Tamandua tetradactyla: one gene and its partner. The protein of the gene in region 1 purifies or fractionates together with the protein of each later gene. This does not show direct contact. Links are inferred from orthologs where the notes say so. Each region holds a gene or a part of one and is shown on either strand. Other genes may lie near its edges.

The links. The genes of interacting proteins can lie anywhere in the genome.
Region 2: the proteins of PPP4C (region 1) and TCP1 purify together in Homo sapiens (affinity purification with mass spectrometry; 5 studies listed by BioGRID and IntAct, with this or other methods). This does not show direct contact. The link is inferred for Tamandua tetradactyla from reciprocal best matches to the Homo sapiens genes PPP4C and TCP1.

The regions. Positions count from the first base shown.
Region 1 is NC_135349.1:24,612,231-24,619,311, forward strand, and holds the start of PPP4C (serine/threonine-protein phosphatase 4 catalytic subunit), read left to right. Parts: upstream 1-4,060; 5' UTR 4,061-4,156; exon of another isoform or gene 4,157-4,195; intron 4,196-4,424; 5' UTR 4,425-4,487; coding exon 4,488-4,585; intron 4,586-4,663; exon of another isoform or gene 4,664-7,081. Other genes in the region: ALDOA (fructose-bisphosphate aldolase A), read left to right, coding at 371-425, 542-702, 1,012-1,095, 1,190-1,364, 1,486-1,685, 1,787-1,882. UniProt on the Homo sapiens protein: Protein phosphatase that is involved in many processes such as microtubule organization at centrosomes, maturation of spliceosomal snRNPs, apoptosis, DNA repair, tumor necrosis factor (TNF)-alpha signaling, activation of c-Jun N-terminal kinase MAPK8, regulation of histone acetylation, DNA damage checkpoint signaling, NF-kappa-B activation and cell migration.
Region 2 is NC_135337.1:63,588,656-63,596,462, reverse strand, and holds the start of TCP1 (T-complex protein 1 subunit alpha), read left to right. Parts: upstream 1-4,786; 5' UTR 4,787-4,933; coding exon 4,934-4,997; intron 4,998-5,826; coding exon 5,827-5,912; intron 5,913-6,105; coding exon 6,106-6,234; intron 6,235-7,465; coding exon 7,466-7,563; intron 7,564-7,725; exon of another isoform or gene 7,726-7,807. Other genes in the region: MRPL18 (large ribosomal subunit protein uL18m), read right to left, coding at 1,123-1,309, 3,727-3,778. UniProt on the Homo sapiens protein: Component of the chaperonin-containing T-complex (TRiC), a molecular chaperone complex that assists the folding of actin, tubulin and other proteins upon ATP hydrolysis.

The DNA of each region.
Region 1 (7,081 bases):
GGATGGAGAGGAAAAGCCAGGGACTTCAGTTACCTGCCTGGCATTTTTAGCCCTCACAATTCTCAGAGGGAGAGATTACTCTGTTTTACAAATGAGAAACCAGAGGGTCAGGGAAGTGAAGTGTTTTGCTTACAGAGTTAGTAACTGGTAGGGCCCAGGCCTCCTGAAACTCAAATCAGTTAACAGTCTGTGCCAGGTAACATCTCCATGTATCTTGCCTCATAGGATTAGATACTGTACCTAAGCAAAAATATTTGTGAGCCATGAGGTGCTGTTTAAGAGATTAAGTTGGGTTCAGATTGGGGCTACAGAGGAGAAAAGGGTGCTAGACCATTTCCTGTTTATCTTGCTGTCCCTCCTCCCCCAACAGGTAGACAAGGGCGTGGTACCCCTGGCAGGAACAAATGGCGAGACCACCACCCAAGGTGAGAACTCTTTGGCTCCTCACTCTATTAACCCATAGTCACCCTTCATGGTGGCCGCGGGTAAGTGGCCAAGTGGCTCCTCCCTCATTGTGCTCTGATTCCTCTGTCTCCTTCAGGGCTGGATGGGCTGTCTGAGCGCTGTGCCCAGTACAAGAAAGATGGAGCTGACTTTGCCAAGTGGCGCTGTGTGCTGAAGATCGGGGAGCATACTCCCACCTCCCTCGCCATTATGGAGAATGCCAATGTGCTGGCCCGTTATGCCAGCATCTGCCAGCAGGTTGGCTTGTGGGTCCCCAGTAAGCCACCTCCCACCTCCTTGGGCCCCAAGCTGTCAGCTAGCCTGCTACGCATCTGCCAGGATACCTACCTCCTCCCCCAAGGCAGCTGTTCCTGGAACTTTCTAGGAACAAATCAGTCTCTGTCTTTGCCCAGCAGAAGATGCTCAGAAAGCTCTGCAAGGCAGAGGACTAGAGTAGGCTTATGAGGTTGGTCTTGAAGCCAGGAGTTCCTCTCAGCCAGTGACTTCAGGGGGGTTGGAGGCAGAACCCTGGGTTTAGGAGGCCTCACCCCACTTCCCACCCAACAGAATGGCATCGTGCCCATCGTGGAGCCAGAGATTCTCCCCGACGGGGACCATGACTTGAGGCGCTGTCAATATGTAACCGAGAAGGTAGGTTCCTGCTTGCTGTGGTGGGTGGGGCAGCTGGGCCAGGGCCCTGACCTGACCCGTCTCCCCACCCAACTTGGGCCCTGCCCTACTCCAGGTGCTGGCTGCTGTTTACAAGGCTCTGAGTGACCACCACGTCTACCTGGAAGGCACTTTGCTGAAGCCCAACATGGTAACCCCAGGCCATGCCTGCACCCAGAAGTTTTCTCACGAGGAGATTGCCATAGCAACTGTCACAGCACTGCGCCGCACAGTGCCTCCTGCTGTCCCTGGTGAGGCGTGCAACTTCATCTTGGGAAGGGGGTACTTTATACCCACAGACTTTATACCCATCTGGTCTGTTCTTCAGGGCAGCTTCTTGGGGATCCTATCTGTCTCACCCTTGTTCTGCAGGAGTCACCTTCCTATCTGGAGGCCAGAGTGAAGAGGAGGCATCCATCAACCTTAACGCCATCAACAAGTGCCCCCTGCAGAAGCCATGGGCCCTGACCTTCTCCTATGGCCGAGCCCTGCAGGCTTCTGCCCTGAAGGCCTGGGGTGGGAAGAAGGAGAACCTGAAGGCTGCCCAGGAAGAGTATGTCAAGCGAGCCCTGGTAAGGATGGGGCAGGATGCAGACAGGGTACCTGGGTAGGTGGGATTCTGAGAAGCTGGGTTCCCTGAGGCCTTCTCACTCTGGTTTCTCTCCCCCTTTAGGCCAACAGCCTTGCCTGCCAAGGAAAGTACACCCCAAGTGGCCAGACCGGCACCGCAGCCAGCGAGTCCCTCTTCATCTCTAACCATGCCTACTAAGCAGAGGTGTTCTAAGGTTGCCCCCTCAACACTCCAAGCCCCTGCTTCCTCCTACACTCACTGTCAAGGAGGGGCTTCATCTGGGGCTCCCGGCTGCTCTTTCCCATCACTTTTTTGCCTCCCTTGTGACTTTGGTGTGTGGTGTTGTCTGTATATGCTAACTCCATCCTTTACAGCCCACTGCCAATAAACAACTATTTAAGGGGGACTCTGTTGTCTGTGCTCGTGGTGTTTGGCGCAGTGGGGAACCTGCAAAGGTGGCAGAGCCCTGAAGAAGAAAGCTCTTGTTTTTGTGTCCTTCCTTGTTTTATACTTGCCCAGAGCTTTCAGGAAGACAGAGAGTTTGTGAAATTCTCCAACCACTATATGCTCCACCCATTTCTATCAGCAGCATCTGATAAGGCTCACAGATAAGGGCGCAAATGTACTGCTCAAGTCACCAGAGGCCACAGTATCAGCCCAGAACTCAGGGTGCACAAGGCCCCTGTGGAAAAATAGTAACTGCTTAAAGCCAGACAGTGTAGCAGGTGCTGTAGATGAGTAGGTACTGCTATTCCCGGCCATCTTGCCTAAGATCACACAAGTTTCTTCGGGGAAAACAGGATTATTACTGCATATCCCCATAAGGGGGCTGGTCCATTGCCCCATTTTATGGGCGAGATGGAATTAAAATTCTTAGTCCTCTTTGGGCCATGGAATCCCTGAAGGCATTTGGAATTCTCTCCAACATTCAATTAAACAATGCAGACAGCACACGTACTCCAGGTTCCAGGTTAACTGCACCTCAGCAGCTGCCACAGTCCATGAGGCCAGAGGGAAGGTCCTGAAGCTGTCCCTATGCAATGCGCTGAACTCTTCCTCAATCATCCAGGCTGGGATGCTACAGTAACTACACTGGATTCTTCTGAACTGCCAAAGATCCTAACCACAGACATAGCCCTGCTGCCACCTCCCAAATTTTCTGCAACTTCTTTCACTGCCAGCCTTTCTGGATAGGGACTCTTTCCTGTCTGAACTTCCCATCCATGAAAAAGGTCATGACCTTTCTGTCCTTTCTGGACCTAAAAAATCCCCACAATGATCCTCATAGAACTGACTTACCTAGTACCTTCTAGGAACCCTCGTCCTTCCCTTCTGTGCACATTTGCACCTACTGCCTGCATTCATGTATCAAATCCACTCCTAGTGGCCCTCCAAACTTTGGCCTCATTTCTGTGCCTAGCCTCAATTCTGGGAAACAAAACTTGAAGCAAATAAAAGTTGAGGGTAAGTAGAAAGAAAGCAAAAACGACACTTCAAAAAACAGCATGTGTAAAGGCTGAGAGACTGGAAAGGTGGAGAGTGGGCTTAGATTAGAGTATCTTCCTCTGCCTCCAGCAAAAGAGACAAGGGAAGCAGAGGACTACAAATGTCAGGGGAGTTTGGAAAATTCTGGACTTCTGAATTTTATAACGATTCACTGAACTACAGAAATGGTAAATTCTGAGAAAATGGAAAAACTAGATTTGAGAACAGTTTTCTGGGGTTCAAATTTCAACCCTGATTCAAATCTCAAATTCTCAGCTATGTAACCATGAACAAATTAGTTCTTTGAGCCAGCTTCCTCCTCCTAACAAAGGAACAAAACTTGCCTTAGATAGGAAGTAACTGAGGTGAGGTAAAGGGACCTATTTTGTAATGAGGTAGGTCTTTAGCTTGATGAGGGAAATGTGGATCTTTTCTTCTGCCTCTAACTGTAGATGTCCCGATGGCAAAGATTTCCCCCGGGCCATGAAAAGAGACTGGGGATTGGACTGAGATTCCTTCGGCCATGAACAAATATTTATGTATGCCTACTATGTGCCAGGCCCATAGGGCTACAATGGTAAACAAGACAAAATTCCATACCTCAAGGATTGTAGTAGGCGAGGCAAACTACAACAGATGGGCAAAAGTACTTAACATGAAGTTAAGAGGTTTAAGCACAGCTCAGCTTCAGTTTCCCTAACTGAAACGGCAGGGAACTGGCCTGAGGTCTGTAACACCCTCCAGTACCGGCCCGTTTAGTCCACAACTTCCGTCCACAACTTCCGTCCGCATGTTACCTACAACCAGCTCCCTCCGCTCACTTCATTCTTAGGCTTGAGAGGTGTGGTTAAGGGCGCGGCGCGGAAGGGAGGAGTGTATATGACGCCACTTCCGACGCGCGCCGGAACTAGCTTCCCTTTGCTTCCGCGGCGGGGCCGGAAGTAGGAGCAGCGGTAGTGGCGGCCCAAAGCGGGGGGAAGGAGGAAGGTAGAGAGCCTGAGAGCCGGAGCCGGAGTCGCAGCGGCGGTAATAGCCCGAGACCCCTCCAGGCCACGTCCCTAGCGCGGGACCTGTGGGGTTCGACGGGAGTTAGCGGCGGTGCGGCCAGAGCCGCGGGACGTCGGGAGTCTCTGGGAGCCGATGTGAGGGGAGGCGGGTAGGGGGGGGGAAGGGGCGGGCCAGCCTCAGAATCGCGTTGGCCCCTGGCGCCCCGTACGGACATTCAGATCTGTGGGGTCGTCTTCACCTTTCCCAGGGGACCCCTGTGCGGTGCAGAGGGGGCAGTGGCCCCGGCTCTGACCCGCGCTGGGGGTGGGCCATGGCGGAGATCAGCGACCTGGACCGGCAGATAGAGCAGCTGCGACGCTGCGAGCTCATCAAGGAGAGCGAAGTCAAGGCCCTCTGCGCCAAGGCTAGGTAAGCCTGCTAGCCCCGGGGAGGGGAGGTCTTGCCGCTACTCGGACGTTCTGACCCCGGGCAAGCCCAGCGGAGAACTCTGGGCCTGGCCCACCTAGGAAGTGTTCCCTGAGAGGAGCAGTATAACGCCCCTTTCCTCGAGGAGCCACTAGCCTGCTGGGGGAGGCACACCTTAATAAAGACACTTAAAGTATCAGATGATGTATTTTTATAAAGTAGTAAGAGAAGTTATGGAAAGTATTCAGGAAGCTTAAAGCAACAATCCCATCTTTTGGGGAGGAACAGGGAAGACTCCTTGGCGGAGCTGTACTTTGGGCAGGCCTTTAAAAATGAGATAAAAGGGAGTGTCAGCAAGAACAAAGAGTCAAGGCAGGAAAGCAAGAAACTCTGTGGTTTACAAAGTTCTTTTAATTCCACCAACAAGCCATAAAAGGTGGGTGTCTTCAGTTTACAAGTGAGAAATCTCATGTTAATTCACCAGCAAGTAGGGGTTAGAATCCGAGATCAGTTTTCTGTGTCCTGTCCCTTTTCTGGCCATAATGCTAGAAGGGGTGGACTTCATCCAACTCTCATTTTCATTGGTAGGACCTCAGAATTGCAGCAAATAAGCTAGAGTAGAATTAAGCCCTGGATGGAGGGAGGCCCATCGCAGAGTTTTATGGGAAGTAGAATGGTGTGGTGGTTAAGAGCAGAGGCCTTGGAGTATGATGGCTCTGGGTTTGAATCTGAGCTCTGCTGCTTACTAGCTGTGTTTGTGGTCTTGAGCTCTCTGAGACTCCATTTCACCAACTGAGAAGTGAGGATAATAGTACTTAATAAGTTGGTTGTGAAGATTCAGTGAGTTGGTGCGTGGTATGAAGTTAGCATAGTGCTTTGGTCCAGTGCAAATATTTGGCAATCATTAAGTGTTATTGTTGTTGCTATATTAGACGAGGGCAGTGCTGGCATTGGCTGAAGTCATCAGGGAAGGTTTCTAAGTGAAGGTAGGCCTTGAAGCATGAAGATAATTTGGGTAAGCAATGGGGCAGGACCAGGGAGGAAGGACATTCCAAGCACAATGAGAGTAGGAATGGAGGCCTGAAATGTGTGCGCAACAGTGAGGAGACTAATCACCTGCCTTATCCAAGAAACTGTTTGACTGTGGCTTCCCCAAGGCTGGAAAATTTACAAGCCCACTGTTTGGCCATGAACTGGCAAGAAGGAAAAAAAAAAAAACAATCTTCCCCCAGCCAGCTTGTAAGGTTGGAATTATTTGCTCCATTTTACAGAAGAGGAAGCCAGATTCCTAGAGGCCAGGTAATTTGACTGAGGAAGTGGCGGAGCTGGATTTTTTGCCTCACATAGGCCTTTTGCCCCACATAGACCCTCTACAGCCAGGCAAAGTTTGCATGAGTTTGGTAAACAGGCGAGGCCCCTTTATAAGTGCCTGTCTCTGACTCCTCTGTGCTTTGTCAGTTCAAGGAAATTGCCCTGACTTGGCCAGCTTCAAAGTGTTTTTAGTTGTCTTAGCTTCCTCGGTTCTTACTGGCATTTTAGGAACTTAAACCAGTTGCTGCCTGGCCCTTTTCCGTTTCCGATCAGTCTTGTTTTCACAGGGCCTGAATCAGTGTGCTGGTGATAAGGGCTAATGCTTGGGTAGTATGCTAGAGTTTTCAGAGTAAATGAGAAATTATGCCTTCATTCTCTTTGTTCCTTGCAGCAGCCTTATGGATAAGGCAGGGCAGGGATGAGTATTTATTCCACTTCACGGAAGAGGAAATTGTCCAAGGTCTTGCCCAAGGTTACAAAGCTGACTGGAAGGGATGTTGGTTTTGAATCTAGGTCTCTGACTGTTCTTTTCAGTCATCAACAGCTTGGCAGAGACATTTAGACTTTGATGTGGGGTGTGAGGCAGCAGAGAACTAGGGAGGTCTGGTGGGTGCAAGGGTCCTACCATTTGAAACTGAAGTGGACTAGGAGGTACTAACTATACTGACGTCTGAGTTGGCCACCATTGTCCCAGGCCCAGTCTGAAGAAGGACCAGTTCTGGGATCTAGTTCATGGCCTCGTGGGGACCCACTAGGGCTTCCACTTGCTCAGAGGATTCATAGACTCAAACCCTGGGATCCAGAGAGGCCTGCAGTGCCTGAGCTGAAATAGCTCCTTTTAGAAGAATTTAGCAAAAGCTTTTGAATCTGGCAGTCTTTGATTGGAATCCCAGCATTGCCACCTATAAACAACGTGACCCTGATGACTTCACTTCTCTGAATCTTTGAGCTCATTTTAAGGCTCAAATGAGATCTACATATCCAACAACAGGACCTGACACATTGGTGGGCACTTAAAGAAGGTAGTGTTAGTAGTGGAAATAAAGGTAAGCAGGTGGGAGCTATGCCAGGGCAGGTGGTGTGCTGCAAGTGACAGGCAACCTGGGCCTTGTTACCAGATCATGCTGGGACCCCACTGGCACTCAGGTACAGTTTTGCAGAAAGCAGGGACCTTCCTGGGCTTCAGGT
Region 2 (7,807 bases), on another chromosome or scaffold:
ATAATTTCTAACTTGTTTCGTAACTCTACGGGGTCCTTAAGAAAAATTCTTTTTAAAAAAAATTCTTACCAAGTAGATGGGCAGCAGATAAACAGCCACATGTTGCAGGTTACAGAAAATTTAGTGCCTAGTTCTGAGAATATTTTTGAATCTTCACCCTAGCACTTCTTCACCCCTAATTCCCCCTGCTCTTATAAAATGGAGAAAGTAATTGTTTCTGCTTTACAAAGTAGTTTTAAGTAGTAAATGAGAAAATGTGCATAAACCAGCAACCATAGTTCTTGGCAAAAAGAAAGTGTTCAATAAACAACCATTCTTGTGACAAAATGACAGGAATAGCAGATTCCTAACTGTTCTCCCTGCTTCTACTCTAGTTCCCTTAAAAATCTATCCGTCCCGGGGCAGGCCATGGTGGCTCGGCAGGCAGCGTTCTTGCCTGCCATGCTGGAGACCTAGATTCAATTTCCGGAGCCTGCCCATGCGAAAAAAAAAAGAGAGAGAGAGGAAAAAAAAGAATCTATCCATCCCAGAGTAACCAGAATGATATTTAAATATCAGGTCATTCAGGTTCAAAATTATAAACCTCTCATAGCTCCCCTCTACAGCGAGAATAAAGTCTGAACTGCTTAACTTGTCTTGTAAAGCTAATAATCTGTCCCCTCACTAGCCCTCCAGTCTCATCTTACATCATGCACCCTTTTGCCTATTGAGCTCCAGGCACACAGGCTTTCTTTCTGTTCCTCTAACATGACAAGCTCATTCCCACCATTGCTGTTTGGTCTGCTAGGAATGCTCTTCCTGGCATTTCCGAGATGGCCTGAGTTCTTCCTTTCAGATTTCAGCTTTTTAAATATCACTCCCTTAGAAAGGTCATACAAAGGTACCCAATCACCCACTCTTAAGTCATCCTCTTCAAGTTTTCTCCAAGACAGGTGCTATTTGCCCCATTCAGCTGCCAACCCCTTTCCCCACCCATGTCAACTTCCTAAGGGCAGAGTCCCCAGCAGTATTTGGCACATAGTAAGGGCTGGATAAATATTTGCTGAATGAATGGATGAAAGCAGCTTGCAGGGTACCATGCACCACTCTGCCTTTAGGTCAACAACAAATAGCTTTATTTACCTGTGCCAGAACTCACGGGAGGGCCACACCGTCCGCCAACCCCGCTCCTTCCTGGCTACAGCTAAGAGTTCCAGATTCCGGGGATTTCGGTTGGTAAATTCTGGGGCAACAGCTTCATTTTCCAGAGGGTCCACTTCAGGCGTCACCGCTGGTTTGGGACCAGTTGAGAGGGCTGCAAACCCAAACTCTAAGAAATGGAAACCACCACACTTATCTTAAAAGATGAGTAATATGTGTATGCCATAAGCTATGTGTAACAGGAAAACATCAATTGTACCATGGTTGGGGGGGGGCAAAAGTTATGGGGAAATTTGGATTTTCTATTTGGTGAGGGTATGTTTACTGGTTATCTTTCTCTTGGGAACAATGAAATTATCTAAAATTTAGAATTTGATGGACTGTTGACGTTGGATGTTATACGTATGAGGCCCAGTAGATGGAGATGGCTGAAGGATGCACTGACTGAGATGTAGACTGGCGAATGATGGTGTATACATATGATCGCACACTGTGCTGCTGCTACAAAAAGGAATGAAGTTATGAGACATGCAACAATGTGAATGAACCTGGGACATTTGTTAAGGCAAAATAAACCAGAAACAAAAGAACAAGTATTATATGATCTCATTTAGAAAATACTTAGAAGAAAACTGGGGCCTATATTGTAAACTATTATAGCAGTCACATTTAGCCCAGAGTGGTAACTGTTATTTCTGGATTATGAGAGGGTGTTTAATATATGTATAATCTGGTATTTAGAGATAAGAATGAAGCCAACCAAGTTAGGAATAAGGTAATTCAGAATACAGGGGTAAGGAAAGCATTGTCTATATTTTAGAACCTCATGCACTCTTTGAGACCAAAGGAAGAAAGGTTTATTTGATTCAGAATCTAAATTTTCTGTAGCATATAATCTAACTCAACCTGTCTGGATAGACTATTTAAATAATTCAAACACAGGGAGCCCAGAATAAGAATAGAGCCTATCCTGTATAGCTTAATATAATGTCTGGATACATCCCAGAGAATATTAAGCAGATAATCAAAACGTATTGGCAAAGTCCCTTCAGGGATAGGAGAAAACATATGGATCTAATAAACTTTACCACTGGGGAAACCCTTGATACTGTGCCAAACATTAGGGACACCCAAATCAACAGAACAAGACCTTGATCTTAAGGCTTACTCTTGTGAAGTTTATGTACGTAGTAGAGAAGCTTAGCCTCCTATAGGCATGCTTAAGAGTCACCTGCAGAGGACCTCTTTTGTTGCTCAGATGTGCCTCTCTCTCTCTCAGCCCAACTCTTCAAGTGAAACCATTGCCCTCACCCCTACGTGGGACATGACATCCAGGGATGAAAGTCTCCCTGGCAGCATGGGAGAATGACTCCCAAATATAAGTCTGGCCCTGGCACAATGGGATAATCTATGCCATTCTGACCAAAAGGGGGAAAAGAAGTGTAACAAATAAGGCATCAGTGGCTGAGAGAGTTCAAGTAAAGTTGAGAGGCTAATCTGGAGGTCACCCTTATGCAAGCTTCAGTTAGACATTGCTACGTATCATAATTTACCAACCCCCAATCAAAACCATTTCTGTCAATCCTAAAGAATACCTAGGCTGTTACATAAGATTCTACAGAAGTTCCTGCACTAGGGTAACTTTCCGGAAACCTACAACCTCCAAATGGGTCCCTGGACTAGATAAGACCTGAAACCCAGAAGGGCCAGCCTTTCCAGAACATCAACTAGTTCCATCCCCTATCCGATATTATTGACAGCCCCTTCAAACATGAAAAACTATAATGGGCACTGGGCATGGCTCTAAAGAGTGGAAGAAAGATCAAAGGTGATAGTGGAGTTATATAGAGAAGGTAGGGTTTAACAAATGAGTATGAGCACTGAATCACTATATTGATATTTCTTTTAGACTCCAGTATCTTACAGCAGCTAGAAGTAAAAATCTAAAATTGTGGAATTGAAATCCATACCAAACTCTGAAATCTGTGCTACGACTAATTGTTGCAAGGTGCTTTGAAATTTCTTGCTTTTTTGCATATGTTTTTCCACACACACACACAATGTTAAAAAGGAGGAGGAGTATAACAGAAATGACAGGATTTAACAAATGAGCATGACTGTTGAATTATATTGATATTTCTTATGGTCTCCAATGTCTGGGAGCAGCTAGAAGAAAAAACGAAAAATCGCGGAACTGTAACCCATATCAAACTTTAGAAGCTGCTCTGTAACTACTTGCTAAAATGTACCTGGAAACTTCTTGCTTTTTTGTATACATGTTATATTTCACAATTTTAAAGCAATTTAAAAAAAGATGAGTAATACGGACAAAACAGGAATATGATTTTACTTTTTTCCCTATCCACTCCCCCAATCTTCCCGCCCTGGAAGGGGCATGATATGTATGTTTGGGCACAGGGTGTAGTAATGACAGACCCAGGTCCTTAGTTTCCTACTACTGTCATCCCAATACCGTGAGCTCATTGACTTTTCGATGTTGCATGCGGAAAATAAAATGCAATTCGCATATTCATTTATTTTCCAAGCCCTCGACTTAACGTAAGGAAAGTGGGGAAGGTTAATTACCTGGATTTCTGCAAACGGACAATAACTCCCAGGGCCGCGAACGAAGCGCCATAACCAGGAGACCACAGGCAAAGCCTCGATAAAGTCTGGCCTCCTCTTCCTCAAGGGTGTTTCACAGTCTCCACGGGCGCAGCCATATTAACTTAGGGACAACGCCACAGGGTCGGGAGCGTCATCAAATCCTCAACACGTGGGACACTCTCGACCCGGAACCAGCAAACCCCCTGCAGCCGAGTGGCGGAGAAGGCAAGTTGTTATCTCCGCTTCTCCAATCATCACCTACGCTTAGGAGCACGCAAGCCTTTGAGCTGACCAATCACCACTCAGTAACACGCGTGGTGGACGGGGCGGGATCCCCTTGGCTTAGAGCAAGCCTTATTTGCGCGAGTCCTGCCGGGAGGGTTCGCAAGCTTGTGTTGCAGGTGGCGTGCGCTGCTGTCGAAAGCTAACTCTCCTAGCGGGCGAGGAGTTAACTGTCTAAGGGCATCCACAACCTCAGGTTACCGTATCTTGGCCCTCTATTCCAAGACTTAGACCAATTGTAGGATCCACGCAAACCCCAGTTGGGCACGGGAAGAAATGGGAATGAGCAAGATGCACGATTGACTCTTGAAAACGGGTCTTCCTCCAGTGAAAAATTTTCACGTTGAGCCCATTGGAAAACTTTGGCTGACTTCCTGCCACGCCCCACAGGCTCGGGCACCCTAGAAGCTTACGTGCATTAGGGAAAAGCCTGACGTTCCCTGAGGAAACATCCCTGTTTAGGGCAAAAAAGTAAGAGAATAAAGCTGAAACCCCAAACTTGCCCAGCCCCCCAGTTCTAAATTACAGAGGTGCCCACCCTGCACCCCAAGCCCCACCCTGCAGCCGCCTTTTCTAGAAGTCACTAGAATGCCCCAGATTGGCATGCGCAATACTGCCCGGGTGAATGCTCAAACTATCACCTCCTTCCTCCGGACGCCCAGGAACTGGACTTCCGTTCTCCTGCTTTCGCGCCCTTCTCATCGGGCTTCCAATTGGACGAGGATGCTGACCCGCCTCTGTGCCCGCCCCCTGCCGCTCGCTCACTTCCTGCCTACGCACCGATCTCTCCTCCTCTCCCTCTCGCCTTGCCTCGCGTTTTCGCCGTTGCGGTGGCCGCCGCCGTGTCTGGGGGAGAAACGCTGGTTTCGTGTCAGTGATTCTTGACGAGCCCCCTACCGCGAAGATGGAGGGGCCTTTGTCCGTGTTCGGGGACCGCAGCACTGGGGAGGCGATCCGCTCCCAGAACGGTAAGAGACGGCTAGGCCTGAGGGGGCCCGAGCAGCCCCACCGCGCCCCGGGAGGCCTGTGGCTGCCTTCCGTACGCTTCTCTCTCTTTTCCAGTCCCTAGAAGAGCCGCCGGGTGGCCTCTTGGGGCGGGGCGACTGCGCCCCAGTCCCAGGAAGGGCCGCTCCCTTAGAGCGCAGCACGTTTTTGAGAGCTGCACCGCGTGCGTGTGGGTTGGGGGTGGATGGCGAGCACCCCGCCTGGAAAGCGAGCCATCTGCGCTGAAATATGTCGGCCGCGGCTCGCGTCCCCCATAGTTGTCTTTTGTTTCGATCCCAACCAGGTAGAACATCTTGCTGAACCTCTGGTCTTCGTTTCAGGACCATTGACTTTAGCACAGGACTTAGTTTACCGACGAGCAAACAGAATTTTTAGGTGGCTGGATCATCGGTTGTCCCAATGTCTAGATCCGTTTCTTATTCCTATTGTTGACGGCATCTCATGATAAAATTAGCTGACGAAATGTTGGTTGAATGTTAGCGTCCTTTGATTTAAGATCCGGGAAAGCTCCCCTTTAAATGAGTTTACCTTAGGGTGCACGGGTAGTTTCATTGGTAGAATGCTCGCCTTCCATGCAGGAGACCCGGGTTCGATTCCCGGACCATGCACACACACCGCAAAATGAATTTACCTTAGTAAATGCTAATACGAATTATGAGCAAAGCCTTTGATGGAATATATATGTAAGTTTGGGAAATTCGGAAGCTACTGGATGTTGTTTATTTTTTAGACAGAAAGTGTTCTCCTTTGGACTAGTATTTCTCATTTTCTTTTTTCACTAATTATCCACAGTTATGGCTGCAGCTTCTATTGCTAATATTGTAAAAAGTTCTCTTGGTCCTGTTGGCTTGGATAAAATGTTGGTGGATGATATTGGTGTAAGTACACTTAACTCTTGTGTATAAGTTAAATAAAAGGGATGGTTCTTAAATTTTAGCTATGTAAATTCGATGTATTTATCGAGTCGTGGTCATAATGAAACTGTGTTATTTTATGGGGTTATCTATTCCATTTCTGAGGGTAATTTACATTGTCCTTTTTTTTTTTTTTCACCCCTGCAAAATTTCTCAGGATGTAACCATTACCAATGATGGTGCAACCATCTTGAAGTTACTAGAGGTAGAGCATCCTGCAGCTAAAGTTCTTTGTGAGCTGGCTGATCTGCAAGACAAAGAAGTTGGAGATGGAACTACCTCAGTGGTATGTAAGCCACCTGATAGAGTAGCTAAAGGCTAGTTGTTTTCCTCAAAGCTTTCAAAGTGAGAGAGAGCATAAGTGAATCATTTGCTTCTGAGTGAGAAATAAGTTACATATTTAATAGGAAGAAATTAGATTTCTTGGGTACTGATTCAAATACATTTGAAAAATGATGGTTATAGCTAGTTTATACAGTTTTTTTGTTGTTATGATAACACACAACACCAAATTTCGCATTTTACCTGCTGTATGTGTACAATTTAGTGATCTTAATTAAATTCACGTAATGTTACCAATACCAACATCCCTTACCTTCATCACCAATACCTTAATCACCCTAGTTTGTTTCAATTTGAGTAGAAAAGAAACTTGAGATAATTTGATATACTCATTTTAAATCTTGACCTTTGGAAGTTTTGAGATTTTTTTTTTTGCCCCACAATACAGATAGTATTACAGATATGTGACGTGAGGTTTTGGCTAAGCATGGTTAATTGTACTTAAGATTTTTGTTTTTCTAAAAAGTTTGCCACTTCCCCCACCCGTGGAAAGTTCTAAGACCTTTACTTTGTAATGATCTAGAGGGAAAATGTTGCCAGTTTTGCTTTGCTTTGTTTCATTTTTAATTAAAATATATATTTTTTAAGGATTGGCAGACTCCTGGGTCAAAATGGAAGTGAGAAATTTACAGTATGACAATGTAAAGATTTTGACAAGTCAGTAAACATGATTAACAAGGTGACTTAAATTTTCAAAGATTATCCTGTATACTTGGGTTTGTTAAAGTTTGAAGTTAGCTAGCCAAACAAGCAATAATATCTTGGGAAAGAAATATGTTTCACTTCAGCCATGAGAAAATGAACTCTATCTCTTCTAAGGTCATAATAGTAGTCTGTCTCGGTAACTGATTTATCATAATGTAATTTAACAAAATTTCCAGGGTGGGAAAAGCTCCCAGGATTTAAAAAATTTTTTTAATTAAAACTATTTTTAGTGTTCATTAGATTGTTAAAATAAACCAAGAATAACTTAAATTAGTATAAGTTGTTTGAGTAAACGTTAGTCTCTGTTAACCACTTAACCTAAGAGGACTGTGTAGTCTTTTACTATATTGCTGAAAGAGCTTCTTAGCAGAATATTTTTCTGGCTCTTATCAGATAGTGTTGATTTTATGTATGCATTGCATATACTGAATGCCAGGCTACATTTAGAGCAATGAATGTTTTCTCAACAGGTTATTATTGCAGCAGAACTTCTGAAAAATGCAGATGAACTAGTCAAACAGAAAATTCATCCCACATCAGTTATCAGTGGCTATCGACTTGCTTGCAAGTGAGATTTGCATTCAGAGACAAAATTTTTGCTGTTTGTTGTAATAGTTATATTCTGTGTTCTCATAAATGTTTTGATTGATTTAAATATTACTTTTTCAAATTAAAGTTTTATGGTTAAGTATAATATTTGAAGTAAGGAGTATGGCTAATAACTTTTTTGGTTCCCATTTGACTACCACTTTTTCTCTTAATAATAGATTTTAGTGGCTATGCTTATGGGATAGATGAAAGTTGCCATGATC